2 linked regions of the Saccharomyces cerevisiae S288C genome follow. The protein of the gene in region 1 purifies or fractionates together with the protein of each later gene. This does not show direct contact. Each region holds a gene or a part of one and is shown on either strand. Other genes may lie near its edges.

Region 1 (4,615 bases):
AACCACAATTCAAAAGCAGTCAAATTTTGTTCAAAAAATCCTGTAAATTGTTGTTGTTGTTGTTGCTGCTGCTGTAATTGTTGCTGTGAGCTTTGCAAAGATATAGATTTTCTTGATTGGAGAGCAGGGTTATTTACTAGAGACATTGTACTTAAATTGGCCACTGCAAATCTCGATTGTGTTTGAATACTTCCGGCTTTCGTATCTTGGGCATTCGACTTAGAGCTGCCACCATTCTGTAAGGTTTCTTGTTGTTGTAGAATCATCTGACTCTCTAAGGCAGTAGCGGGAGGAGCATTTTTCAGATCAATGACTATTTTAGTCAGTACTTCATCCATGGCTAAATCCCAAGATTTCCACATTGGATGTGTGGTTATACTATCTGGTAATTCTGGATCAGATACAGGATGGCAATTGTACCACGGCATTATTCTTTTGGCTAGAAGAAAATTTCTGAAAAGCGCAGCAATCATTAAATCATGTCTGAATAATTTTTTGAAAAGTGGTCGGGGGAGGGATGTCCATGCAATTGTGTCCGTTATAGCTGTAAAAATCCAATTTAGTTCTCCCAACGGCGTTCTCCTATCCGACAACATTCCAGGGATATTGACGTTGGGTATTTTGGACTTGAACGAGTTCTTACTATCACCAAACGGTTGATTTGAAGTACTATTTTCGAAGAAAATTTTATATTTAGAATCTTTTAAGGGTGACTGCATGAGAAAGATACGGATGCTAATCTCTATTGGACAGGTCAAACAACAACTAAACAAATCTGCGGGTAGTTCCGGACTCATAAGTAAAAGTTCATCGGAAGTGCAAGAGGCTAATTGGAAACAATCTTGATAAGCTGAAGTTGGTGATGGCGCGGCAACATCATGATTTCCCTCTTCATCATCTTTAATCCTCTTTTGCACAAACTTCTGAAAGTTGATTAATATATTTTCAGCACTGTTGCAATCATAGACAAATATACATGGCGCACCTAACCAAGTTTGCAGGTCATACAAAGATACCGGAATATATTGTGTATAACCTCTGTTGAAAACCCAAATTTCACCTGATTTTGTAGGCTTAGGCACACCATGTCCGTTGTAGTGGAAAAGTATCCTATCTTCCTTAGAAGTTCTTCTTAGCGAGTTGCAAAACCGTTTGACATCCTCTACACAAGGATCCAAGCTTTGTTTATAGCGTGTTCTCAAAGACAGAGTTTCGTACTGTGCTTGTAAGTTTTTACCAATTTGTTCTATTGCTTTCTTCGAGTCCTGGAAATTCAATGGGTCTACCCATGCTTCAACTCTGGCACAGGGATGTGTCTTCATAACATCAGGGGGATCGACACCTAAATTCAAGCATAATAAAAGGGCCGCACTTACTGTCTTCTGTCGATCTTTCATAATCTTCCAATCGGTAATCGGCTGGTAATAACGATTTACATCTCGTTGTTTATCCTCTTCAGGAATCGGATTTCCATTAGTTTTGTGTCGTTTATCATCAAAGTAGAATATGAAATCATTCGCGAGTGATTGTAAAAGTTGGTCACTTTGGTATTGCTCTTCAAACCCATGTCTCATCACCGTATTGAGTGGCTTTAATGGCTGAGGTCCATAAATCTCCGGCATTATGTATCTTTTACCCTTCTCTGCATGCAATAGGATTCGCTAAATGTAATCAAAGGAATCTACAAACCAAATGCATTCGAAAATAACTTTACAAGTTTTAAAATCCTCTATATACTTATGTAAAGTACTACCTATTGATGATTTATTAAAGTATTTTTGATACTATTAATGCTGCCTTGATTATCATCTCATAGTGCGGGTCACCTTGAAAAATCCAAATATAAGAAGCGATGCCATTATAACCTCTGGAGAATGATAACTTAAGAGCTTTTTAATAGCTCCAACCCAAGCTATTGCTACAGGTAGAACAAGATATAATGGCCAGTTCGTCACATAACCCTGTCATTCTTTTGAAAAGAATCTTATCGCTCACAGAAAGCTCCCCTTTCATTTTGTGCTTAGATTCTATTGCCCAGACCTCATACAAGCTCATCCAAGAATTCGTCCACCAGAGCAAGAGTAAAGGAAATGAGTATCCAATTGTGTACATTTCGTTCGAAACAGTGAATAAACCATCGTACTGTACTCAATTTATTGACGCTACGCAGATGGATTTTGTACATTTAGTGAAACAAATTATATCATATCTACCGGCTGCTACTGCCACACAGGCAAAAAAGCACATGGTCATTATCGATTCATTGAACTATATTTCTACAGAATACATAACAAGGTTTTTGTCTGAGATCGCCTCTCCTCACTGCACGATGGTTGCGACTTATCATAAAGACATCAAAGATGAGAACCGTACGGTAATACCTGATTGGAATAACAATTATCCTGATAAGTTGACTTTACTGCAGTTTATGGCCACTACAATAGTAGATATTGATGTGGTATTAACAGGCACTCTCGATACTGAGGAGGTGAGTGAATTGTTAAACGAATTTAGAATTCCTCGCGGGTTAAATAACGATATATTTCAATTACGACTTGTTAATAAAAGAAAGTCCGGCAGGTCATTGGAATACGACTTCATAGTAAATTCAAACACCCACGAATATGAATTATTATCAACCACTAAGCAAGAAGAGGAGAGCAGTAGTAACGGACTGGAGACACCCGAAATGTTGCAAGGATTAACAACATTCAACCTAGGAACATCCAACAAACAGAAGCTGGCCAAAGATCAAGTCGCATTGCCTTTTCTGGAGGCACAAAGCTTTGGACAAGGGGGTGCTATTGTTTATGAGTACGAAAAGGATGACGATTATGATGAAGAGGATCCATATGAGGATCCCTTTTAAAAAGTAGAAACTGATGGTAAATAGTGAGTGCTTCCAGATTATGTAAACTACGTATACTTCATACACATATCTAGATGCTAGATTGTTAGTCTGTTTTAGTCTTTTTTTTCCCTAGGAACTTTTCCTTTAGCTTTAGCAATTTGTATTTTAAGCCAGATTGCAACGTAATCTTATCGGCCTCTTCGACGGTGACCATTCTCTTCACCATCAAATTGTATAGCATACCGAATATGAGTCCCATGATTGTAGATGTTAGAATGATGACGTTATACGGCATACTAAAATCCGGTGTAGACAGGGATAACAATAGGGTAGAGGTTCTCATTTCATAAAGAGACGATGAGGACTCCAAAGATAGCACGGTGATTACAGCTGCATCGATTTCAAAACCATGGTTTGCATCTGGTGGATACTCGGCAAATTGCAGAAGAGCTTTATCGAATTGATAAGTCATTACAATGTCCGTATTAGCTGGAATTAACATCGTGAACTCCAAGTGGCCAGGTCTTTTTCTATCGGCCGCTTGTAAATAGTATTTATCTAAGATGATATCGTTTTCTTGCAATTGCGGAGAGGTAGTAGAAGTAATTTGAAGAGAGGATAGGTAAACTCTCATGAACCATGGCAATGATTCGAAATAAATCAACTTCACAGGGGTATCATTGTCGTTATGGAAAACAATACGCATTCCACCACGATCTTGTCCATTACCAGTCAGAGATCTGCTTACGTGAATTGGGACAGGAACTATGGGAGTAACTTTAGTAGTGTCCGTCGATTCTAAAATAAAGTCGTAGCCCGAACCACCCTCATTTTGATCGTTTGATAAGTCAAAGCAATTATCATGTGTGCTGAAAATAGTATCGTCAACTGACAAAAACGCAGTCCAGGTAGAACGGTCAACTTCTGCACAAATTCTTGTGGGCCTATTAGCAAACAGGTTGCCATTGTTTATTGGTCTGGCAAACAGCTGAGACAGCTTGAAGTGAGTCTGCGAAGGTTCCGGTAGAGGGAAGCATTGGTAAGAATCAAAGGGTTTATCCGTGTCACAACGCAATGTGTTCCCATCCAAAGGTTTGGGGATAGGTCTCTCACCTCTTGCCAAGGCGGAGGGAACGTGTGTTACCATTTCTATGCGTGCGTCCATCTCGTAGTGACAAAGAGCATCTTCATCTTCAGAACAAATAGTGGCAATATCCAAGGAAATACTATTCCATAGAGAGTCGAACAATTTATGACCATCCAAGAGAGATGTCAAACCGGATTTGCCCCTAGTAGGCAATAGTTTTATGAACGGCGTCAAGTTCTCGGTACAGATGGGTTCATTGGGCAACGATGCTCGCATCAGGTACAGTTTCTCGGTGCTATTGAAAAGAGGAGCTCCTATATCAGAAGCATATGACCGCCGGGGAAAGGTCGTCCTTGACTCGTCGATAAAATTTAAAGAAGAACAAAACAATCCGCTCAATGAATTGGACAGTTTTTTCCAATTATGGAACGCCTGTTCCTGATCCATGGCCTGCACTTGCGACCACAATTCCACACCTGAGGCACCTGCCTCTTTTCCAGCATGTGGCAACTGTCCCCACGACAGGGCATCCCAGAATCCTCTGGTAAATCTTAAATGAAACTGACGCGTGGCAGTAGATTCCAACAATGGTGGGATGGCCCGTGGGAAAGTCGTGTAGTGCTCATACGCATCATATGACATGGATGATACGGCCGGGTCAAACGGTTCCGATTGCA
Region 2 (5,698 bases), on another chromosome or scaffold:
AAAAAACAATCAAAGTTTTGTTTTTTTACTTTTTTTTTTTGGAATTTTTGTTGTTGAAGGAAAAGGACGCCTAAGCAGGCGAAGAATACTATCATTACCCATAATAAGAATTTTTTATTGTATAATATCATTTTGTTTTCGTGATTTTTAGTTGTTTTCGTTTTATTGCAACATGCCTATTTCAAAATACTTGTACCTTTAAAAAATCGACATCTTCGTCAAGGTCGTCGATGAAACTGCTTTGATCAAGTTCATTGGTGGCAGTTGCATCATTGTTGTTATCGTTTAAGTCATAAAGGTTAGCGTTCGACTTCGACGTAGAAATTTTTTTGGATTTCAGAACTTTGGTGTAGTCGTCATCAGTACCGGCACTACCGTCAATACCGGTATCGTTGGAAAACATGAAATTTTTAAAAGATCTGCCATTGTTACAGTCCTGCTCTTCCATCAACTCTTCTAGAGTTGGGGGCAAATAAGAAAACTTATTGTCAGCCAAAGTGATTTCTGAACCTAACTCGTCATGGTGATGCGAATCAGCGCTTTCATCCTGATCCTGAAGAAACAGATAGGTTTCATCGTTCTTTGCTTGGATGTTCGCCTTCTCAGAATTAGTATTTTTTTTCAAAGCACGTGATGAATCTTCTTGTTGTGAACTTGAACTTGGTAAATAATTCCAAATGTCTTCTTCATCTGGCTCAACCTTATCATCTTGCCCTGAAGATACGGTTTCCTCCAAAATTGGCAGATTCAATAAAGACATATTATCGTCATTGTCCACTTGTTGGTAATTGCCACTGTTCTTACCTGTTGTATCGTCCATAGACTGTAAGTAAGAATTCCAGAGATCATTATTTTCGTTAACGTCGTTATTCGTGTTGACTTTGGCATACTTATTGAAAAACTCAAGTTTCTCGAAATCGTTAAAGAATTTAATCTCGTTCAAATCCTCAATTTTGTCCTTAACTTGCAAATTAGTAGGCAAGGAGTGGTTTCTAATCAACGAGACTGAATCTGCTGGAGAGAAATCTGCTGGAGAATCAGGGAATGAAGCCTTATGAGGGATCTTATGAAAATTTAGGTTCATGTTCAAATCTTTTGTCAACTGTGGGACCGGAGTGGCCGATGAAGATGTGGAAGATAAGGACAATAAATCAAAGTCGTTCAACTTTGATTTTTTCGTGGGTGGTGCGTGAACATTTGAAGAAGAATCTATATGATGGTTTTTTGTTAGCAGACTGTTGTGAGCAGCAATGGTTTCCACATCGGTGCAGCTTTCATCGTCCATGAATTCTGATTTTTTTCTATTTCTATAACTTGAAAAAGATGGAGATGAATAAGATGGAGATGAAATGGAGGAGGCAGAAGAATGAAACTTTTCATTTTCCAAGTCATCGAACTTCAAAAATGCGAGGTAATTCGAGTCGTTTATTAGCTTTTCATCGATTGTCTGGATATGTCTTGGTATTTTCCTCTTTTCTTTGGAAGCTTGTTTCCTATTCGAAATGATGTTATTATTATTATTATTATTACTACTGTTCCTGCTGTTAGGGCCAACATTTAAAATATTATTGGTGTTGTTGGCAGGTAGAGTGTTGTGAGAAGATGATCTTCTACCAGGTCTTGGTCTTGGGGGCAAAACCCAATGTTTTGAAGTTCTAACCACCAAGCTAGACTTCTTCTTCTTTTTACTGCCATCGTTTTCGAATTCCAGCGAACTATTGTTATGATGGTTGGTATTTGGGGCGATCGGTACAGGCGCCAATGGAATATTATTATGCTCATTTTTAAAATGGTTACTACGAGGGCGACTAGCGGAGGCCTGTAGTAGAAAAGTCTTTGCGGTCATGATTCTTTTTTTGTTTTTTTTTTGTACTAGAAAATGTAGGTAAAACAAATCAGCAACCCATTAAAATGCTCTTTGATGTACTAGGAGACCAATAAATATGTGTGGAAAAAAAATAAAACTGTGTTTTTTCTCTTCCTATGCGTTTGATAATGATCTGCTCAAATAAATAATGACCCTTTTTTATTTTTCTGGTTCCTTTATAGTAGTATTTTTATATTATTAAGTGTAAAGTGGACCTGTAGATAGCATATACGATATAAAACTGGGGTTTAGAGAGGTGAAGGAATTAATAAAGGTAAAAAAATTAAAAGGAAAAAGGAGATGGACCTAAACAACCACACGGGGTTAAGCAAGAAGAAATTGATATAGGAGATTAGTTAATAGCTTTACAATATATATAATTTATCTAAAAACGATCTCATACTCAATAAATTTTTTTAGAGTAGTCTCGGAAAGAAAATAGCAATCCATTTACTTTTAGAACAATCTGCAAAATCGATACATGACACTTGGAAGCAACTGTGAAAAGGCTACGGCCATTGCTTACCGCGTGCAAGATCCGTAACATAAGAAAACTTTAGTCCTTGATGAAAGAAAATTTTCGTTTTTTTTTTCAGGTTCAGCGGGCTTAACCTCGTTTGCCGCCTCGGCCCCGCTCCGTTGTGCTGGCCATCTGTGCGCGGCGGGCTTCCCCCCCGTCGCTACTTCCGGATTAAACTTTTAGACTTCGGACCCCTGCCCCGGGGGGTTTCTCTGAACGCCGGGGTAGTGGTCCAAAGCCCACGAAACGCGTGTTCCTCTCAGCGGCATTGGAGTGAATAAAGCCCGCAGGACAGCCTTTTTTTTCCGGGCTGCACGACCGAATCAACTTGTCGCTCTATTCCTCCGTTGTTCCCGATTTGTAGCTCGGGGCCGACTCGCTTTTTGGCCAAGAAAATTGAGGAAAGCCCGTATTGCGGAGAAGGTTCTTATGTATTTGCCGTGCGATCAACCTCCGGGGCCCGGGTTTCAAATTCCGGCAATCATCCATGCCTAGTTTTGGAAATTCTCAGCAGAGGTTATCCCGTAAGGTGAAAAAAAGACATAAACGGTTTTTGCCTACAGTTTCCGGCAAAATAGTGATCTCATAGTACATCACTACTGCGAAGTCACCGGCCCGTACAGAAAAAGTATATCTTTAAATAGCGGCCCTACCTCTGCTTCTACCTACTTCATATTCGAATTCTTTTCTCGCCTTCCGCAGTGTTTCGCAAATCTGGACCTACGCACTAAATCATTTATGATTGTTCTCTCTTTCACGTGATAAGGTTTGCATTCTATTCGTTACCCTATTAATTATTACTATTTTTTTCAGCATGAGTTTTATTTCGCACATAAAATGCATCTATTTCTGGATATTACTGTAGTTTTCTTTGCTTTTCGCCTACCGCGCGGCGAAAAGTCGTATCAATCAATATGTGCCACTGCTATCATCCCTTGATAGAGTACAACGTAAAAGAGGCATTGTAGCATATTCACCCCGCTTGATAACTAGATTTTTTAGGCAAGAGTTGCGCACAGCGTACTGTGCACTACGGTATACAGAATTACACAATTGATACTTATTCTCTCCTTCATTGTTGCTCTGTTTCCGTTGTTTAAACTTTATCCAAAAACTCTGTTTTCTGTTTATTGAACCCCTTGCTTTCGCAAGCAAGCCCGACATATACGAACAGAACTGGGGAGAGGGAGTCTTATGCTGTACAACTCATGTAACCCCCACTATCTCAGGAGTTATATTAAATCAAGGCACGCCAGTGCTGCCTCTCTTGGTACGACAAACAAGTTTTTCCCGATTCTAGGTATTGCATTACATAATATCAACCCTTTGTTGTTTTCTTTTGATTTTTGAAAAGAAATATCTCATACCAACCGGAAAGGAAAAAGGACACAATTTGGGAAAATAGGCAATTTATTATGTACACAAGTCATAACCAAGAAAAAAGTAAGGGTAAAACAAGCAATTACTGAACTTGTTTCATGAGACTCATATCCAGAAGCATATTTATATAAGGAAATATTAGTTGCAAATCATTATGTCATTCCTTTCGCACACCCGATATGCTAAAAACAGCATACATGCACACTGCGCTTGGCTTGGACATATTCTCTCTGCATATGATGGAAAAAAAATCTTTTTTTTTCTTTTTCTTTGACTTTTTGCCGTTTTGTCATCGTCATCGCGATGGAAAAAGAAATGAAGAATACTTGATGAACAGGTGAAACTTGAACAATAACGTATCAGAATGAGGGTAAAGGGACCTTGTAAAACTTTTGAAAAAACTAAACAGGCAATTTAGTAAGAAGATGCCACTGGTGCTTTTTACGGGATACCCATGTAGTGGTAAGACAACGCTTGCTAAACATTTGGTACAACTACTACAGTCCAAGATCGATGCAACCCCATCATTAAGTAAATATTCCATAACCTATCATTCAGATGAATCTTTAGGCATAAAACATTCAGATTATATAACTTCCCAAGATGAAAGAAAATTGAGGTCGGAGATCATCTCCGCAGTGAAAAGAGATCTATCTAAAAACAAGATAGTCATTGTAGACTCGTTGAATTATATCAAGGGTTTCCGGTATCAACTTCACTGCGAGGTGAAAAATTTGTCCACCACATTTTGTGTAATTCAAACACTGTGTCCACCAGAGACTATATTCGAGTGGAATAAGACTTCAAACCCGAACCCTTGGGAACCCGAGTTATTGAATCAATTGATTCAACGATACGAAGAGCCTAACTCAAGCAACCGATGGGACTCTCCACTCTTTGCTATTCTTACTCCTCAGGACAACATAACTGACTACATCGACGATATTTGTAAAGTAGTCTTTCAAACTTCCAAATCGGCTAAAAACAGTGGACACAATGATCCGTTGAGTAAGGGCTTACAAAAACCGAACTCAGCCACGGTACTAAAGCCTGCGTCTCAGTCCAATTTCATCCAGGTTCTCGACATCGAAACTAGTAAGATAATAAAAACCATAATGAACCACATCAAAAGCCTGACTTCTATTGGCGGGGTAAGTAACGGAACAAGAGTCATTGTTTCCGAAGGGATTACCGATATCAATGATGATGGTTGCTTCTTCGTAGACTTGCCCATTGGTAACGTCGTTACGTTGGCGCAATTGCAGAGATTGAAAAGGCAATTCATTAACTTCAACAAACTAAGAGATATAGATCAAGATAGGATCGGTCCGCTTTTCGCTGATTATCTTAACAAAAACTTGAATTGAGATATACATGTGATTAATATCAGAAGGTAAATGGCAAGACGAAATTTGCTTGTTTATAATACAAAAAAACATACATAAGATATAATATATATTTCAATAGAAAAGAAAAAGTATAGAAAAGTGAATAAACAAAAGAAACATGAGAAAAATAGCTCGTCTTCTCAACTGGGTATCTATTGACCTCTTAATTCTGGTTGAATGTTTTCATCAGAAAGGTCTTCTTCATCATCGGCTTTCCCTATTAGTCCAGCAACATCTTCTTCATCGTGATGAGGTTGGCTATGATGGTTATTATGATGAGTTGTGTTCTTATTATACTGCGATTCTACATCCACGTCCACCATTACATCGTCTACGTCATCATCATTATTCTGGTGTAGATTCTCTACCTCTTTCAAATGCGATGACAGTAACCTTAACTGTTCCGCCACTTCATGTGGTAGTTTGTCGTCTTCATTTCTCTCTTCCAGTGTGATATCTGACAAATGCTGTCTTTTGGACTTGTGAGCATCTTCTGAATCCATATCGTTGATCAAGTTTTCATCTACCACGTTTCTCGACGAA

The links. The genes of interacting proteins can lie anywhere in the genome.
Region 2: the proteins of IKI1 (region 1) and KTI12 purify together in Saccharomyces cerevisiae (affinity purification with western blotting; 5 studies listed by BioGRID). This does not show direct contact.

Annotation. Positions count from the first base shown.
Region 1 is NC_001140.6:479,051-483,665, forward strand, and holds IKI1 (Elongator subunit IKI1), read left to right. Parts: upstream 1-1,939; coding exon 1,940-2,869; downstream 2,870-4,615. Other genes in the region: ubiquitin-binding TORC1 subunit KOG1, read right to left, coding at 1-1,622; GPI-anchor transamidase subunit GPI16, read right to left, coding at 2,955-4,615. UniProt on the Saccharomyces cerevisiae protein: Component of the elongator complex which is required for multiple tRNA modifications, including mcm5U (5-methoxycarbonylmethyl uridine), mcm5s2U (5-methoxycarbonylmethyl-2-thiouridine), and ncm5U (5-carbamoylmethyl uridine).
Region 2 is NC_001143.9:228,375-234,072, reverse strand, and holds KTI12 (Kti12p), read left to right. Parts: upstream 1-4,192; coding exon 4,193-5,134; downstream 5,135-5,698. Other genes in the region: transcription factor HAP4, read right to left, coding at 182-1,846; DNA-binding protein ABF1, read right to left, coding at 5,308-5,698. UniProt on the Saccharomyces cerevisiae protein: Elongator complex-associated factor that is not a structural subunit but rather transiently contacts the complex.